Oryzias latipes: one gene and its partner. Each later gene encodes a partner of the first gene's protein in a complex. Links are inferred from orthologs where the notes say so. Each region holds a gene or a part of one and is shown in the gene's direction. Other genes may lie near its edges.

Region 1 (9,382 bases):
AACCGCGTTATAGCGAGGGATCACTGTACTTCATAACTTTTGTTTGAATTTTTTTATAATATTTCTCTAAGAAGATTAATGGCTTTTAATAGAATGCTGTCTCTAAAAAAAGGAATTTGGTTTAAAAAATGTATGCGCCAGTTTCTAATGATATTGATCGTTGTAGTCATAAAAGGTTTTTTAACGCCAAAATCCAGTTATGTACTGAGTTTGAATTTATTTGGTCTACTCTGTTTAAGTATTAATGTGATCAGTAGTGAACATTTGATGCTCTTACTTTGTTTTGACACTGATTCTGTGTGTTTCTGCACGCAGGTGGGATAAACCTGCCCAGCACGTCCTACCTGAAGTGAGTAAAGGAGGACTGACTTTCCAGCAGTGGCTTCAGAGGTGGAAACTTGCTGCCAAAGACTTGTAGCTTGAAACTTTGAACTCTTTTCTGTTGGAGCCACAAAAATGTCGGTTATGGTCTGCAGATGCTGCCTGAGCGGCTGCTATTTTCCCTGCTCGATCATGAAAAATCAGAAATAAATAAAAATGTTAAACCAAATAGCTGCTTCCTGTTCTCTGTCATAGTAGAAGTTTGTTTTGCTGAAATGTGCTGTGAAGGATGGTGTCTTCCAGCGGCCTGGCGGCTCCGCTTTCAGCGGGGAAGTATGCGGCAGTCGCTCGGCGCCGATTGTTCCTTTGTAGCAGTGAAGGGGGAGTGGAGCAATCCGATGCTTGTAAATTAGGCTCCTCCCACCTCTGCGGCTGCGCACTTCAATTTTTCACTTTTTTTCTCTCCTATTTTTCACTCCTCTGGCTTCCGGACGCTAACATAGACCGCTGCCGCCGAATTTAAAGAGACAGGGGATAGCTATTTTAAATACGTTAACGGCAACCATTGTTTTCTGATGTTTTTTTCTCTGCCGGTTTGGTGAAACGGTGATGTTTCGTCAAAGTCGCGGCGAGTAGCCAGCAGCGGCTCGTCTCCCCCTCAACTCTGCTGGATTTCCCGTCCTTTTTTTTTTTTTTTTTTGCCTGCGTGCAAAAGACTGTCCAGTCAAGCAAAGTAGGGTTGCTGGCTGGCTGGTTACAGGCAGGCAGGCTGGCTCCCCGACCGAGAGCGAGGTTTGTCCGCTAGCCCAACAAACCAACAGCCGCCTCTGCGCTCTTAAGTTGCGGTAGCGGCTCTCCGGTCCTCCTCGCCGGGATAATGGCGAAGATTCAGGCGCATAGCGCCGCCAAGCAGATCAGCCAGATTCAAGACAAGCCGTACGTTATCACACAAAAGCAAGTGCAGCAGCAACACTTCCAGAAGCTGAAGGTAAGCGGACGACGGACACGTCAAGCGGAAAAAGTCCCCCGGAGCCGTTACGGCGTCGGCCGCTGCTCCACATTTGGTCGTCGACTATTGAAAGGAAGGGCTCCGGCTAACGCCAGGCAGCTAGTTAGCCCGAAAAGTAATTCCCGGCCGAACATTTGAACGCTGGCGTACGAGGTTGGACTCGGAAGCTGTTTTCCAGCAACCACTGGAGCGATTGTCAGACGAAGGACTCAGTTTGTGCTACTTTCTCATTGACGCCATCGCTGGCAGAGCCGTGAAGTCAGCCGTGTTGTGGGAAGTTCCTCCTCGGTGGTGGTTCGTCTTTTCTCTTAGCCTGCTCCAAACAAAGTGGAGCTCGTCATCCAGGCCGTGTAGAAACGGCGGCTGTGCTTGATGATTCCGAATTCTGTATTTAGTGTTTTCTGTTACATCTTATTTTCGTCGCAGTCTGACCCCCCCCCCCCCCCCCCATGCATTGTACTGATCGAGCAGTCGGACTTCTGAACGGCGCTCCGCTGTTGGCTAGCATTAGCTTCAGACGCTACGCGCTCTTTCGTCTGAATGTTTCTGTGATTTCTCGGTGTTTAGTGGCCGTAAACGCTGCAGACGGTAGAAACGGGAGCTGCTTCTTTCCCGGTTCAGCTGCGTCGTCTTTCCTCTTCAGTCACTTGCAGTTTGTGTGTGTGTGTGTGTGCGCGCGCGAGTGTGTGCGTGCGTGTGGTAAATAAAGCTCAGCCTGACTTCAAACCATCATGCAGACTCAAACGAACGGGGCTGAAAAAGCCAGCATTCAGACTAAACGGGTAAATAAAGTCCCGATCAGCTGCGAGTCCTGCCCACTGGTGCATGATGGGTAACAGTTCTGCTTTGGAATTTGTCCTTTTCCACTTCATGCACCAACATCTCACCTGACAATAACTGCCGGTCTTTTGTTTTAAAGGTTGAAGATGCCTTATCTTATCTGGACCAAGTGAAGATCCGGTTTGCCAATGATCCGGGCATCTATAACAAGTTCCTGGACATCATGAAGGAGTTCAAGTCACAGAGGTAACCATAGGAGCAAACCAAACCCTGATTTACAGGGATTTACAGTAAAGTAGTTTGCATCTGTTGCAAAAACATTCCTAGTCATCTTTTAATTACATTTATGCCGTTTTCTAGGATATAGTTTCTGCAAAGTGGCAGTAGTTCATTAGAAATTCAGCTCTGAGTTGTGTCAGTGGTGCAGAGTAAGCCGGCCCCTTTCCCATCATCTCATCTGTTTACATGCTGCCCCGCTAGCTTACAGCCCCTCACAACCCCAACCTTGGCTGGGTGTTGGACTGGCGTGCAAGAAGCCAGTGTATGCTTCCCAGTGTAGGTTCTTGGGCGAGGCGTATCCCGCTGCTGCCTAAATAGTAAACGGCGTATTTTTATGATAGTGGTTTAGTACTTTGTTAGAGTCCAAAGCGCTTTTCTGCCACAGACCCACACACTGATGCCAAACACTGGCACCAACCTATAACCACCAGGAGCAATGTGGGCTTCAGTGCCTTGCCCAATGACACTTGGGCGGACAAGGCGAGAACAGAACCTTGATTTTCTCATCAGAAGTCGAACGTTCTTCCTCTGCGCCATGGCCGCCCAATGTAGCCCTAAGCGGGCCCTGGTCTGGGTCTTCCTGTGCCGATCCGCAGACTGAGTCTGCAGCAGTCCTGCCAAGAACAGGACGGTTTCTGAACTTAAAAAGGAGGCAAAAATGCTGCTAAGCCGATGCTGAATTCACCCAGAAACACGAGTGACATGAAAGGCAGAGTGAGGTTAGTGGTTGTGATGCTTGGTTACTTTAAGGGTAGTTAACAAATCTTTAATGAGTCCAAAGACAATTATTTTGTCAAAACTGATTATTTAACATAAATAAATACAACAGAAACCAAAAACATTTTCTTAACTGGTTCCATCCAGAACTAAAATGTTTGACTTTATCTTAAAGTAGTGAAGCATGAAAGTATGTGTCTCTATCTTCACCCATCATCATCATCATCATCGTCGTCGTCTCTCTTCAACAGCATTGACACACCGGGGGTCATAAACCGCGTGTCACAGCTATTTCATGGACATCCAGACCTGGTCCTGGGCTTCAACGCCTTCCTGCCTCCAGGTTATCGGATAGAGATTCCCAAAAATGGGATGGCGTTTCTCCAGTCTCCGTTCTCCGCTCAGGTGAGCCACACTTCCCGCTTGTACTGAAACCCGTAAAGATTTCAGGGTGACAGAGTTTAGAGGTCTTAAAGTTCCACTCTGACCATCTTTGGATCTAGTTTCTAAGTGTTCCCAGTGGCCTTTTAATTATGATGAAAATTCCATTCAGTTTTATTTCTATAGCCCAATATTACAACAACAGTCACCTCAAAGGGCTTCAGACGGTAGTTGTTCAATAAACATGAATCATAAAGAACACAAAGTCATAGAATCAATAGGTAACGGCTAAACTAAACCAGTCATTTTCTTGGACATAGTTCCTGTAGAGCGGCGTTGTGGGCGGGACCGTTGGCGTGGTGAAAGCCAGTCCTCCTTCCCATCATCTGTTTACAGTTTACACCCTCTCCCACTAGCTTACTGCCCCTCACACCCCCAACCTAGCATTAGCAGTGCAACAAAAACAGTGATCAGATCCATCCAGCCGTCCAGTTCTGATCCAGATTCCAGCTCAGACCAGGAAAACAAAGAAGATCATGGATCTGTTGGTCTGCAGGTGGAGGATCAGAATGGAGCGGGGGCTGGAGGCTGTCCATTGTAGTTTTTTTATACCATGGCCCGGGTGAATACTTGAATCTGATTGGCTGCTGGGTGTGCATTAAAAAGTGATATACCACAGGATAACTGCACGGTGAAAAAAGAAGTTCCGGTCACCTAGCTTAAATGTTCTGTATCACTACGCCGGCTTCTTTAAAACAACCTTTTGCTTCATCATTTGGACAAAAACAAGCGGTAAAAAGTGAACTTTCTCTCTGAACTGATGCTTTATTCAACCCATCGGGAAGATCAGCATAGATATATATCGCCGAATCTTGACTGCAGCAGTGATGCGGCGCGAACAAATAGTCCGCTTTTTGTGAGAAAAGTGATCCAAATCGGAACAAAAAACAAGAATTAAGTACCAAAAACAGGTTACTATTTATTGCTTTTGTAAGTGACCATGGTATAAGCGGGTTAATGGCCTTTGAAGTGTTCATTATCAGAACTAACGCACTTCGCGGAAGCACCCAGGCTTCCACGGTGTGCGTTAAAAAGTGATAATGCACACTTCGTCGGCCATTGACCCTTACACGTAACAACTATAGGCTTTTTATTTTGTCTTTATTTATTTATTTACTTATTCTTTCTGTTTCTCCTCCATCAGCAGAACAGGTTAAAAACAACATTTTGTTTTATCATAGTGTGTTTTTGAGAGAAAACTGATGTCTGAGTGATGGTTATTCACAAAACGCGGCCAAACTTTGGAGAGTTTGCTGCCATCAGATTGTATTAGTGCGTTTGACCCACATGAGCTGCAGATGTATTTGTTATTTAAACTTTGTGTGGAATAATGTCTCTTTGTGGGCTTATTTGCACTTTTGATGAACCTGGAACTGAATCCTCTGAATGTAACGTTGCTGTCGGATGTTTCCCAGAATGACAAACTGTCAGAGAAGATTCTGATTTTAGATGCATCCCATGGTGGAGTTTATGGATTTTGGAAATCATTTAATCATTTTGTCACTTCAGTTTTTGAAATCTATACACTTTCAATAATATTCCAATTGATTTGAATCATGATCGTCTTTGCTAAACTTAATCGTTTCATGTTTCTCACACAAAATGTTGCAAATTTGAGAGCTTATTGGATGACCTCATAGCGCTGTTATTGCATATGAAAATCTAAAAAGACACTTTTTTCTGCTCCTTTTTGCCTATAAATGTTTGCATTTATTTACAAAGTGCTTAAAGAAAATCTAAAAGCTCTCCATTGTGCTGTAAAACCAGATTGTTGTATTAAACTGTGGATTATTGGAGCTAAAGCTGCTTAATAAAAAGCTCAAATCAGTGTTATTTTTAATTTATGGAGTTTGAATTCTTTTGCTTTAAAAAATCCACTTTATTTCAGAGCCGATGTAATTATGTTTCATGTTCTTTAACATTTCATTTCTTTAATGTCTCATGCACTGTTTGCCCCCCCTGTCCACCCCCCCTGTCCACCCATGCAGGTGTCTCCGGGACAGCACACTAAAAATCTGACCCCTCCTGCAGTGGGCTCGTCCTCAGGCCCCGCCTCCACGGTCCACGCTGAAGCTGGACCGGTCCAGACCAGTGAAGTCAAGGCGCCTTCGTCCGATTCCCTGTCGTCCAGCTCGACGGGACCCGCAGAGCCCCCCAGCAGACTTTCTCTCCCCCTGACTAAAGAGAGCCACAATCCGGCCGCCGTCTCCTCGGTGTCCCCGCCGGCGTCAGAGACCAGTCCTGTTGAGTTTGACAGTGCCATCAGCTATGTTAACAAGATTAAAAACCGTTTTCTGGACCACCCAGAGATTTATAGAGCCTTCCTAGAAATCCTCCACACCTATCAGGTAAAAACTGGCTGATTAGGAAGCAGATTTCCAGCTCCATAACTGAAACGTTTTACATTTATCACAGTGTACAGACGAGACTGCAGCGGCTTGTTGGCCGTTTTATTCCTGAAACGTGTGTCATGGGGTGGATGTGTCAGAATGCACGCCATTCATCACTATTGCATCAAAACGGCTGTTTTACAAGATATTGATAACTGTAGATGTGATTGTTCTTTAAAAGAAAGAGTGTTTCCCCCTTTGGCTCCATGTCAACACGGTTTCCCCCGTCACTTTGCAGAAGGAGCAGCTGGAAGCCAAGGAGAGTCGGGGCAGCAGCGGCATGACTGAAGACGAAGTCTTTTCCAAAGTGGCCAGCCTTTTTAAGGGGCAGGAGGATCTTCTGGCTGAGTTTGGACAGTTCTTACCCGATGCTAAGAGATCTCTGGTCAGTGAAGCTCCAGCATGTGAACTTCTAACCTTAATGAAATAAGTGAAGAGTCACAAACGAACCTGGTTTTTCCGGTTTGTCCGGCTTCTCCAATGGAGACAGACTAGCTGTATTTGCTTTTCAGAATGTCTCTGCTGATATTTACTTCTTCTTTTGCTAATTTAGTTCACGGGGAGTTCGCTGACGGGGAGCAAAGAGCCGCTGAAAAAGTCTGAGGAAGACGATGTATCAAGCAAACAGAACAAGAAGAGGCCCCGGCCCGTCCTCCTGCAGCACATGTCTCCTCTGCTGAAGGTATGCTCGTGCTTCTTATGGACGCATTTGTCCAAACGACGCCGGCCAAAAGTGACAAAATGCTTCAGTTAAGAAGAAAGCTTGATTTAAATAGTGAGAAATGCTGCAGTTTGCCTTTATTGTGTGATGTTGAAACACAATCGATTCATTTCATAGCTTTATCAGTGTTTAAAGAATGCAAAGTGGCACAGAATGAACATTTTACCTTGGAACTGTTGTTCCTTTCTGTCCCACTAACCCCTGTGTTTGTGTAGCTTCATCTGACTGGACCCCTTTACTAACTCTGAATTACTTTATTCTTGTTGATGAGGCTTTGTTGAAGTATTAACCGGCCCTGGCTTGACATGTTGTGTTTTTTTTCCTGGTTTCTAACAGTTGTCTATTCTTCAATCAGAAGGATTTCAATGTTAAACTGTAAACGTATTCTACAGTTAATCTGAGTAAAAACCAAACCTAAGGGGGAAAAAGTCGCGTTTATTCACTGCAGGGTCTGATGTATTTAATGACAGCAAAACACAGAATTAAGAGAAAGGAAGGTGTGTTTGCATACGAAAGGACCCCCCATTACAAGATTTGACCTAAAGCTCGATAAGATGAAAATGTGCACCTTTAACCTTTTCTTTGATTTAAATCAAAAAAGGCCATTTGAAGCCTGATTGGCTGGTTTTTGGAAGGAGCGGCACTCTGAGTGTGGGGCCACACTTTGATTAAAAGCAGGGGTGTCGAATTCTACCCCGCCAGCGCCAACATTCTGCTGGTTTCTCCTAAACTCGACCCCACCTGCTGCCGATTACCTGGATCAGGTGTGCTTTGCCAGTGAGGAGCTGCAGGTGGAGGTCGGCGGTGAAACTCGTGGGACTCTGGAGTTTGTGAAGGTTTCCCTAACCCATCACTCTGAGACGGAACACACTGGATCATCTCTGAGAAGCTCCGTCTCAGTTTTGACTGTCCAGAATATTTGCTGAAACTGTGATGACGTTTTGTTTTATTTATACAAAGATGCCAAAAACCAGTTCAGGTTCTGTGTGTCCTTCCATAGATGCACCTGTGACGACCACAGAGCGCTTTTATCTTATAAATAAAGATTAAAATGACATTAAGAAGATATTTGCTTTTGTACAACCCTCAAGTCAGAAGTCTGGACCACATATGATACATATTGATATTATCCATATCTGATCCATATGTCGCTGCAGTAAATAGATTTTTTGGGGTTTGACAGGTTATTCTTTAATAAAAACAGCCCTTTTCTGTCTTTGCTCTGTCTTTCTATTTAGTGAACATTCAGATTAGTGCAGCTTCATCTTTTTTAGAATGTAAATTTTTTGTCTTATTGATTATTCCTCAAATCTTCATTCTCTCCTTTTTTAGTATATTTTGCCACTTCGTAGTTTGTTTTCTTCACTACTGTTCACTGACAATACACCAAATCTGCATAAACTACAGCCACATGCAGTAGGATGCATGTAGCTAAAGATTCCCATCAGCCTTTGCTGCTCAGTCTTAAAGCTGCATCCAGTCTGCTGTTGTTTCCAGCGAACGCTGCTGATTAACTCTGACTCTTGCTCTGTGACTCCTTCCATAAGGAAATAACGTCAAATGTTGTGCATTTTGAATTCAAAGCAGCTTTCTCTCCCTGTACAGACTGCTACAGAGCAGATGAAAATGTTTATTAGACGCTTTCTGATGTGCTTTCCATTCTGTAAGAATTAGATTATTGGTATTCATAAAATCTCTGAAGTTTCTCAATTCTGCTGTGCCATTAAGGAAATCAAATGTTCTAGATATTTATGAAATAGTTTTTCTTTTTCAGAAAAAAATGAAGTATTCTTGCACCAAAGATCCGTCTTTTGCTTCAGCCGGGAAGCACGGCGTCCTGAGGGAATTCTCCTTCTTTGACAAAGTAAGGTTTATGGATTTTATTACATTTTTGATTTCCTGTTTTCTAAGCTTTACCTTGCTTTGACATTTTTATCTGATTACCCTAATCAATCTTTTAGGTCCGCCGCCTTTTCAAAAGCCAGGAAGTGTACGAGAACTTTCTGCGCTGCATCGCGCTGTTCAACCAGGAAGTGGTTTCTGGAGCAGAGCTGCTCCAGCTGGTCACACCTTTCCTGGGGTGAGAAGAACCTTTACAAATGGCAGCGTGTTTAGTAAATGTCGGATCCCACAACAGGAAAAGGCTGGAATCTGATTGAATTGTGCGACAGCAGGTGTGTCGTTGCAGCTGGGTCTCCCTGAACTGACCTGTCCCTCCCCAACAGGAAGTTTCCTGAGCTGTACTCGCAGTTCAAGTCCTTTCTGGGGGACAAAGAGCTGTGTCATGGCGTGTCGGGGCTGTCGGACCGCTACATGGAGGGGGGTGGAGGCAGGGAGGTGGATTATGCCTCCTGCAAGCGGCTGGGGTCCAGCTATCGAGCGCTGCCAAAGACCTACCAGCAGCCCAAATGCAGCGGGCGCACAGCCTTATGCAAAGAGGTACCACAACCTTTGGGGGCTTGAACGGTGCTGTTTCCTTTGGTTCTGGGGGGGGGGGGGTTCTCAGCTCCTTGACCTCGCTATGATGCGTCACGATTTAAAGAAGGCTTGGAATTACAAAATGTTTCTGTACAGGATTAAACCCTAAGTTGGTCTGACAGCCTTTTTGGCTTTGAGTCAACCTTCAGTTATCACTTCCTTTTTACGCGATGACAGCAAAGAATTGTGGGATTGGATTATCTGGTCTTTCAGAGTCGATGTTCTGGTGTTTCCTGCACTGAAGGG
Region 2 (9,382 bases), on another chromosome or scaffold:
CACTCATGAACCAGCACAGATAAACACATTCAATACATTTTAATTAGCAGCTTCTATGTACAGCGTTCCAAATTATTCTGCAAATGCTGTTTTTTTGAATGATTTTTCTCAATACTCGATGCAAATGAAAGTCGGCAGGATTTGTCTAGTCACTAACCATTTTGATGTCATTTTATTAAACAAACCTACTAAAGACGCATATTTTATTCATAAATAAAAGCCTTGAAAGTTTACTGTTCCACATTAGTAAACAGAACATTTCATAGATTCTGAAGAACTAAAAATGGTCATTTGTTGACTTTGCTGCATTAATAGATCATATTTACTGAAGTTTCATTCCAAATTCTACAGTTTCTTCGTCAGCCTCGTAGAAGAAGTCCCTCTTTGCTTCCAGCTGTTTTCATATCTGCGTTTGAGATCGATGGGCGGGCTGAGCTTACTCCGATCAGCGGAAGCCCGGTGGATTCTTTATGTTTGTCTGGGCCCACTGCAGCTGTTTCAGCCCACTTTCCTTTCACCAGAAAACAGGACCCTGGACCACTGGCCCACAGTCCAGTTCTTCTTCTCCGTTTCCCCCGTTGGTCCAGGCTCAGACGTGTCTTGACCCGAAGAACCCGACAGTTGTAGCCCGTCTCCAGAATGGGCCTGAATGTGGTGGTTTTGGAAGCTGTTCCTCCACCTCATTCCACTCTTTCTGGAGGTCTGCAGCTTTTTGGATCTTGTCCTTTTGATGATCCGCTGAAGCCCACAGTCGTCTCTTTTGCTGCTGCTTCTTCTCCTGATACATTTTGACCTTCCTATAGACTTTCCATTGATCTGCTTGGACACAGCGCTCTGTGAACAGACAGCCTCCTGAGCTACTTTTGAACTTTGGTGGCTCACCCAGAGGTCAACGATGGTCTTTTGGGAAGTTGGAAAGCCTGAAGTCTTCCTTATATTTAACCAAACTGAACCAACGTCTGGGGAACCTGTGCAGTTACTTTATGCAGTAGATCAGGGGTCGGGAACCTATGGCTCGCGAGCCATATATGGCTCTTTTGATGGTCACTTGTGGCTCACAGACAAATCTTTAATTATACTTTTTTATTTTTTATTAGACCAGTCCTTCTCGGGCGCGATGCGATGCCAGAGGCGTGGTGCTTGGAGAGAAAAATCTGCGCCAGCATTATCAGTTTACTATTATCTACTATTTCACAGAGTTTGTACCAACCGTAAACCTGTGAATTGACGTCCCTAAAACTGCACGCTCCCGTCTCCGAGAAAGAGCGCGCAGTTGCGGGGACGGGATGTGTGAGGAAGAAAGCAGAGGGTGGGGGTGAGGTGTTGTGGGGACAGGCAGCAGGTGAATCGCGCAGGGATTGTAATAACGTAAAACCTGCTGCCCGTCACTCACTGCAGCGTGTGAGTGTGTGTTTGGCTCCCCGTCTGCATGTGATCAGTCTGTCTCACATCTACAGAACATTCAGACCTAAGATCACGTTTAAAGTCTCAACGCCTGAACGAAGCAGAAACTCACCACGTATCAACCAGACTAGACCACCAGCAGAACTACCACGAGAAATACTCATCATTTATTACCAACAGAATAACAATGTTATTAAAAAGAATCCACAGACTTATTGTACTTTAAAAATGTTGAAATTAAATCAAATGCACACATTCATTTATATATTTAGTTTTAAACAAATTGTCGCGGACTGAGTTGGATGGCTGTTGGGCCGCGTTAAAAGTTCTGGAGTTCATTGAACGCGTCAAGCAGAGATCTGATTGGCCCTCAGTTCTGTCGCTCAGCCTGTTGTTAGGTAGTTTGGACCAATGGTGTTCAGCTATGGGCCGAATAAGGGAAATGGGAGGGCTGCAGCGGGAGCAGGGGAATATATAGTTGGGAGAAGCGCTCTCGTGTCGGCGGGAGAGATTCAGGAGTTGCTGAATGAATTGAACGGCGTTTGTTGCGGTCTGCAGTAACCAGAATAAAGAACTTTAAAAGAGGTTAAGTCTCCGTGCCTCAGTGTGGGGAAGGGACACTACATTATTGTATGGCTCTTTCGAAATTACATTTCAAAATATGTGGCATTTATGGCTCTCTTGGCCAAAAAGGTTCCCGACCCCTGCCGTAGATGATTAGTTGGTGACACTCCGTTTCAAACATTCACGGCCTGCAGAATTTGGGCCGATTTCTCCACGGCATTCTAATTTTAGGAAATCTTGTTGTCATAGGCTTCTTGAGCTGGAACGCCAATTTATTTCAAATAAGCAAATACTTGAAATCAATTAAAAAGCGGGCCCTGAATCTGTATTCCATGAAAGTACAATGTTTTGAATGGAATTATGGAAATGGATCCACTTTTCCATGACACTCAAATGGTTGTGGAAAGGGTCCGTATACGTCTTCCACACCCGCCTCTCCTACTTTCACATGGAACAAGGTTTTCTTCCAAGCTGTCTTAAAACTTACCAACACATCTTAAACCCAAGTGACTATTTATTTTTAAAGTATTCTTCTGACTATTACATTAAACAGAGAGGAGCAGGCCTCTAAAGACGGAACAGTTATTTCATCGGTTTCATAAAGTAAATATTTAACAATAGAAGTAGCAGCATGCTTATTTTGACTTGTAAAAACAGCCCAAAACATCGTTATATCATCAAAGTTTACCATTAAAAGTAAAAAAAAAAGACCCACCCCAACGAGGACATTTTTTCTGTTTTTCTCACCATGCATGAAAAAAATTAAGATTAAAACTGCAGTTTTCAGTATTTCTTTGTTCAAACTGTGGTGAGGCAGGAGCAGAGTGAAAAAAATGCTGTTTTGAAAAAGCTTGTGATTAGTCGGCAGGCCACAAGCTCCGCCCCTTTCTGATCATCCACTAACAAACATATCCATGAGCGTCTTTGTTTTCCTCCTCTGAGCTGGAATCTGGATCAGAACTGTACGGATGGACAGCTCTGACACTGCTCCCAGTTTTTGTCGCACTGCGGATGTTCGGTTGGGTTTGTGAGGGGATGGAAGATACGAGGACAGAATGTACCGTAATTTCCGGACTATAGTGCACCTGGTTATAAGCCGCACCCCATTACATTTTTAAAGGATAAACCATATTGTACATGCATAAGCCGCATGTGCCCACATTGAAACATGTGTTGTAGAATGAGGATGTGTATGTGTGTGGGTGTGGGTGTGTGTAAGAAAGAGGAGGGAGCGAGAGCGCGCAGCAGAAGTGTGTTTGGGGTGTGAAACATATGAGAGCTTTCTTCATCTTCCTCCTGTGCACTGAAACATGGAAGTCTTCCTCAGTGTTGGATTGGAATAGCGTCAGATATTCTTCACCACACTCTGTCTCTTCTTCATTGTAGTTGTCAGTGTCACTCTCATCCTGAGGCAAATTCCCTCCTGAGCTTGCGCTGTCCTCTCGCAGCAGACCGGCTTTTCCAAACACACTGCCTTTAACAATGGCTTTTAACTTGAAAGTTGAAAGCTGCATCATATGCATTTCTTCTTTTATTTTATTCTCATATTTTTATTATAATGAGGTTGTGTTCGTGCCATTCATTCACAAAGCGGGAATTTACATTAAACGTGCGTCTTCCTCGACACATACACCGTCTCACTCTAACCCTTTCTGCTGGGTCGCCCCTAGTGGCCGTTATTAGAAATGCATTAAAAAAATTCATAAAATAGCGCAGCATGGAATAAGCAGCAGGATTGAAAACGTGTGACAAAAGTAGCGGCTTATAATCTGGAAATTACGGTAAACAAAGCCGTCACTTTAGAGGCAAATTTCTGATGAACTCTTGTTGCTCTGGAGATACTATGTCCTTGAAAATGACAGCTTTTTCGATTTTGGATAAAAATGGCATAACCATAATTAAAAGTTCACTTCATCCCTTTCTAGATCAAGTTTATATGTGAATTAGTGTTTGCTGAACTTGTTTATGTGCCTCAGTGATCCAGTTTAAAGCCGTTTTGTTTGTCCCACAGATATGAAAGCCCCTCCCGGCCTGATGGACATGCTGCTGCCAGGCACACCTTCGTCTGTCGCCAACCTGTCCTCGTGTACGAAGGATGGAAAGGAGGATGGAGGTAAAGGTGTCCCCGCCTGATGACGAGCGACCCAGCTGAATTGCTGCTGTTTGTGGCTTGAAGGCTGACATGCACGTCTTGTTTTCTGTCTGTGTGCTCATGGGTAACAGACATTCAGCTTGATAAACTGGATGCAGAGATGATCAAGATGCTGGCATATCAGAGGATCCAGCAGCTATTTCCCCCTAAGATACCCAGCACTCCACCCTGCACAGGTTCCTCTAAATCCCCCCAACCCGACAGTAAGTCTTACCCCTGACACTAGCCGTGTTATCATGAATAGGACGTTGCTCAAATTGGATTTGGGATATTACATTTGCCTAATGGAAAAATGTCAACTCCCAAAAATAACTTGCATTTATTGGGGGGAAAAAGATGGTTTTTGAGGCGTATTTCACAAAACTGCAATGGAAAGACTTGTTTTTGAATTAAATGAGTCATGTGACCAACAACACTCCACAGGTAGACAGTTTTAGATGGAGAGAGTGACTCGCTTTTTGGTAGGAACTTGTGCGCTGCACAGCGGGCGCCATATCACGCCACACAGCTCATCAAAAGTTGAGCGTGTCGTGCAGAATTATTGGATTGTTTGCAGCTCCTCTGTAAAATCACCAACAACAGTTTCCCAAAATGGTTGAATCCGTAGCCACTCCCACGTGTCAGGAGCTCGCCGCTCCACAGCCTGAATAAGACGCCGACGTCTCCTTTGAAAGATGACGATGAGCGCTAGTATCTGCTGTAAATCAAAGTTCACGTTTCTGAATGACTTATGATGTGAGTTGGTTTGTGTTCATTCACATAATTAGGATTAAATGGAAACGGTGTAATTGCAAACATTTCTAGAATTTTGACAGTGTTCCGCATCTGGGAGTCATGGAAACGCAGCTACTCTCTCGTCTTGTGTGACTTCTGAATTTCTACTGTCAGAATAGAAAACAAACGTGTATCACACTTTTTTGGTGAGGTTGTTTGTAACTCCACCTTTTCTTCAGGTCAGAAGAAAGTCCAAGCCCGAGCTGTTTTCTATCCTCTGATAGGAAAAGGTCACGCTGTAAGCATGTGCTACAGGACGCTATACATAGGATCCGGTAAGAGACTCTGACATTCACTGCAGGTTTTGTTTGCATTTGAAATCGGCACATCAATTACTAAAGATATTAAAGAACATCAAAAATACAGTGCTCCCGCCGTCCTGCATGCTTAGTTTTTTTTTATCTACAGCACACTACGTTCTGTGTCCTGATTGGCTGTAGACCTTGTCAATCAATCTTCCATGCTGTGCCTTCAGTACAGATTGTGTACAGTTTGCCAGAGTTGTATATATCACAGATCTTTGTTTTCATTCTGTAATAGTGGACTTTTTTAAAAAGAAAGGTGTGAAAATGTTCATGTGAGTCTGAGAAAAGTGTAGGAAGTGTGTAGTGAGGAGTTTTACAGCCCTAAAGCATCTATATTGTATCCAAGAAAAAACTTACGATATTTGTTTAAAAACCAGTCGTTATAATATTTTGTTGCTCTATTATATGAATATTATTTTAAAAAAGCAAAGATCTTTTTGGGAGAAACTGTGTTTTATTGATGGATAAAAGATTCAGAAAATGTGTGGAGCACATGAAGCCCACATAAAAGCTACATCATGAGGATATTGATATGCCACAGTCTGAAAAGGGGTTTCTAACCTGCAACCTTTTTCTGTGAAGGAGCCGACATGGACGTTTGCCTTTCAAATTACGGTCACTGCAACTTTGTTTCCGGGAAACACGCGTGCATTTTCTATGACGAGGTATGGCTTTGTGGACACGCTTTGCCCTGAAGCGTGGCTCCGTCATGGAAGGACTTTGTCCAACTCTTTCCCCAGAACACCAAGCATTACGAGCTCCTAAACTACAGCGAGCACGGCACCACGGTGGACAACGTCCTCTACTCCTGTGACTTCTCCGAAAAGGCCTCGCCATCCCCACCCTGCGGCCTGGTGTCCAGAGTGCAAAGCATTATCCGTGGGTATCTGCTCAAAAGAAAGACGTCTTCACTGGTTTCTACTCATATTCTGCCTTATAAAAGTTAATTCAAAGAAATGTTCTGATTTTTCTTACTTTCTGCACAAAGACTAGCCGTCCTCAGCGTATACAAATCTAAAATATGATTGGCACACATGTCTGGTTATGAGACAATGGCTGTCTCAGTGTGAGTTTGATACAATTCCATTTTATGTGTGTAGCCCGATATTACAACAAGAGCCGTCTCAGTGGGCTTCATACCAGTGATTCTGTAGAAGACATGAAGTCGGTAGGTCATTTTTCCATCTCGCCTCACTTGTGATTGTGTTACAGTTTGTTTTCCACTCCGTCGTCTGTGCAGGACACAACAGGAAGCAGGAGAGCGAGGGTTCGGGCCCCGGGGCGTCCGTGCTGCCGGCGGGCGGGGTGATGAGCAGCCAGCCCCAGTGTGGCGCGGGGCCGCCATGCGGCTGCAAGTCCAGCAGCTCCAGCCTGATCGGAGGCAGCGGTGCGGGCTGGGAGGGCACGGCTCTCCTTCACCACGGCAGCTACATCAAACTGGGCTGCCTCCAGTTCGTGTTCAGCATTGCCGAGTTTGCCAGTAAACTGCCAAAAGAAGAGCCTGCCGCCAGTTCCACGAGCAGCTCCCCCAGCACCGGCGTGTCCGGCTCCGCACAGTTACCCGCCTCCACACCGCCCAGCACCGCCACGTTGAGCAGCCCGTCCAGCCAGGACGAGGCGGACCCTGACGTGGTCTGCGCCCACCAAGTGCCCGTTCTGCGCTCCAACTTTGTCTCTTAAACCGCACAAGACGCCCACCCTCTACTTTAGTTTGCACCTTCCAAGTCACAATGAAGGGAAAGCTGCACAGCTGCTTGGTCAGCAGGGAAACATTGGTTTGTTTTAAATGCTTTTTTTTTTTTTGGTTTTTTTTTTTTTTTTTTTTGCATGAACTTGAAGTAATGTTGACAATCTTTTATTTTTATTTTTTTTTTGAAAATGACTGACGGTAAACCTGAGTTCACTTCAGACCATCAGGACTTGAGCGAACCTTATTTACCTGCGCTCAGTATTTCTATTGCCTGTGTATTAGTTCTATATATATATATATATATATATATATATATATATGATGTAACCTTATTATGTCAGTCAACCCATTTAGCACAACTCTTATTTTGTTGTATTACATAGTCTGATTTATTTTTTAAAATTTTTTCCCTCTGCTCCTTTTGCACCACAGGTAGCTATAAATGTATGAGTACATACATGCCTACACACTATATGTGTACATAACTATTGTAAATATTTATAATTCAGTCTTTCTCTTTTTGAGAAACATTGGATTTCATGTAGATTTACCTTTTGGGGTTTTTAATTGTACAGTCCATGGAAATTGTGATACAGTGTAGAGTACCAAATGTTTTGTGATAAAACTTGTTCTTAGTCTGTATTTTCCATTGTAGTCCATCTGTTAATACTGTAGTGTTTTAGCACTCATTTTGACATCATGCAGCTTTGTATATAAGCAGTACCAGCTTGTCTGTTAAACATGTAAATACAGAAAGATTTTTTAATAACAAACTCTGTGCATCTTTGTCCCGGCATCAGCCCTCACTGTCAGGAAGGAGAGCGTTAGATTTGTGGTAAATGGCATTCTGTATCCATTTGTCTTGAAAGCTTTTTACAATGAATTCTACATTTCTTTAGTCTTGCCTCTATAGACTCCAGAAAGTCATTGTTCCTGAGTGGGGCAAAAAAGTATTGTCAGCTGCCAATTCTGCAAGATCTCCCACTTCAAAAGATGAGAGGCCTGTAATTGTTTTCATGGGAATACCTCAACTATGAGAGACAAAATGAGAAAAAAGAAAATCCTAGTAACATTGCCCCTAGGCATGAATGCAAGTGTGCATGGGTGACCTGCTGAGGGTAAACCCCGCCTTCGCCCACGAGCGGCCAGGATAGGCTCCAGGGACAAAAAAGGGTTTAGAAAAAGAATGAGTGAGTTTTTTAGGAAACATGTTATCAGAAGTATGTCATTTTAGGTTAAATAAGTTCAGTTTTTAAAGAACACCAGTTATAACCAGAGTTGTCTCAAAGCAAAAGCAAATCACATCCTTATCAAAACCTTGTCCCTTATAAAATTCCACCTTAACGTTCACAGGGAAAAAAAGCCAAAGTCTAAAGTCGTTGGTGTTTCAGGAGGTACAGTTTTTCCGCTTTTTTGAAGAAGTTACTATTACTATTGGTAATGTGCCGTCTCAAAACAAGTCAATCCTTAACCCTTGTGCTATCCAAGCACTTTAACATTGGGAGTTGGGTCATCTAGACCCACTAGACAGTGCTCTGAACCTTTTTTCTTCAATGATTTGTGATCTTCACTGGTGTCCATTGATTACATGAAATCTGTCCACCTTTATCCACCTTTGTCATGGTAGGGAGAACACGTCAATGTAAAGGTGGGGTCATCATCATGCTGGAAGATCCAGCCAATTTTCATCCTCAATACTGTCACTGATGGAAGGAGATTTTTGCCCAAAGACTCATCACACATGGCCCAATTAACCCTTGTGCTATCTTAGATGACCCCACCCTTGCATTGACGTGTTCTCCCTATTGCCCAACATTGGGAGTTGGGTCATCTAGACCCACTAGGCAGTGCACTGAACCTTTTTTCCTTTAGTGATTTGTGATCTTCACTGGTGTCCATGGATTACATGAAATCCTCTCCACCTTTTTCATGGTAGGGATACCACGTCAATGTAAGGGTGGGGTCATAGGATAGCACGTGTCAGTCACCTGTGGGTTTGAACCATACAGGTGCTGTAGTATTTGGGATGTCTGAGTCCATGGGGGGTTGTAGAGAGAAGCAAATGCATCTTAATTGGCGCACAGGTAAGTCTTATGGTTCCCTTGAGACTCGTGGCCACCCCAGCGGACGTCGTGATAGTAGAATAAGTGATTGTAATGCCTCAGTGTATTTTTAAAGTATATGTACTGTAAGTTGCACACGACATGCAGGTGTTGCTGTTGTACAATAAAACTGTAGTCGCTAGTAAGGTGCAAGTATTGGCCTAACTGAGCCCTCGCGAATGCCGCACGCACAGTTTGTGTGGTTGATCCGTAAGTCACCGTAGGAGGCCTGTGGGGTGTTTACTCAATTTACACTGATTGTCTGATTTCCTCATTCTAACAAGAGCCGACAAGGAGCCTGCATTTATCTTATGAACACCACTCATGAGCCCCCGTTCACATGATGCCAGTAGAAAAATGCATTCCACAACCTTGCTATTTCCTGCTCACC

Evidence for each region.
Region 2: the proteins of sin3b (region 1) and phf12 are in contact, whole or in part, in a cryo-EM structure (PDB 8BPA), measured with the Homo sapiens proteins. The link is inferred for Oryzias latipes from reciprocal best matches to the Homo sapiens genes SIN3B and PHF12. Residues at the interface, in NP_056075.1 of Homo sapiens: Glu307, Phe311, Leu318, Glu322, Val323, Tyr324, Glu325, Asn326, Leu328, Arg329, Cys330, Ile331, Leu333, Phe334, Asn335, Glu343, Leu347, Pro350, Phe351, Lys354, Phe365, Lys395, Arg396, Glu490, Glu493, Leu494, Val497, Tyr545, Arg546, Ile547; in NP_001028733.1 of Homo sapiens: Leu20, Met21, Gln23, Ile24, Gln25, Leu27, Leu28, Pro30, Pro31, Lys32, Thr33, Asn264, Leu266, Val267, Leu269, Val271, Val273, Phe275, Thr276, Asn278, Arg279, Ser280, Arg282, Cys292, Pro293, Leu294, Pro316, Asn317, His318, Ile319.

Annotation. Positions count from the first base shown.
Region 1 is NC_019862.2:32,322,929-32,332,310, reverse strand, and holds the start of sin3b (paired amphipathic helix protein Sin3b), read left to right. Parts: upstream 1-755; 5' UTR 756-1,198; coding exon 1,199-1,309; intron 1,310-1,860; exon of another isoform or gene 1,861-2,162; intron 2,163-2,249; coding exon 2,250-2,356; intron 2,357-3,357; coding exon 3,358-3,511; intron 3,512-5,535; coding exon 5,536-5,895; intron 5,896-6,175; coding exon 6,176-6,322; intron 6,323-6,490; coding exon 6,491-6,619; intron 6,620-8,432; coding exon 8,433-8,522; intron 8,523-8,619; coding exon 8,620-8,738; intron 8,739-8,883; coding exon 8,884-9,097; intron 9,098-9,382. Other genes in the region: haus5 (HAUS augmin-like complex subunit 5), read left to right, coding at 316-418.
Region 2 is NC_019871.2:27,099,427-27,108,808, reverse strand, and holds the end of phf12 (PHD finger protein 12), read left to right. Parts: intron 1-3,979; coding exon 3,980-4,081; intron 4,082-4,191; coding exon 4,192-4,323; intron 4,324-5,073; coding exon 5,074-5,169; intron 5,170-5,781; coding exon 5,782-5,864; intron 5,865-5,939; coding exon 5,940-6,078; intron 6,079-6,439; coding exon 6,440-6,879; 3' UTR 6,880-7,662; downstream 7,663-9,382.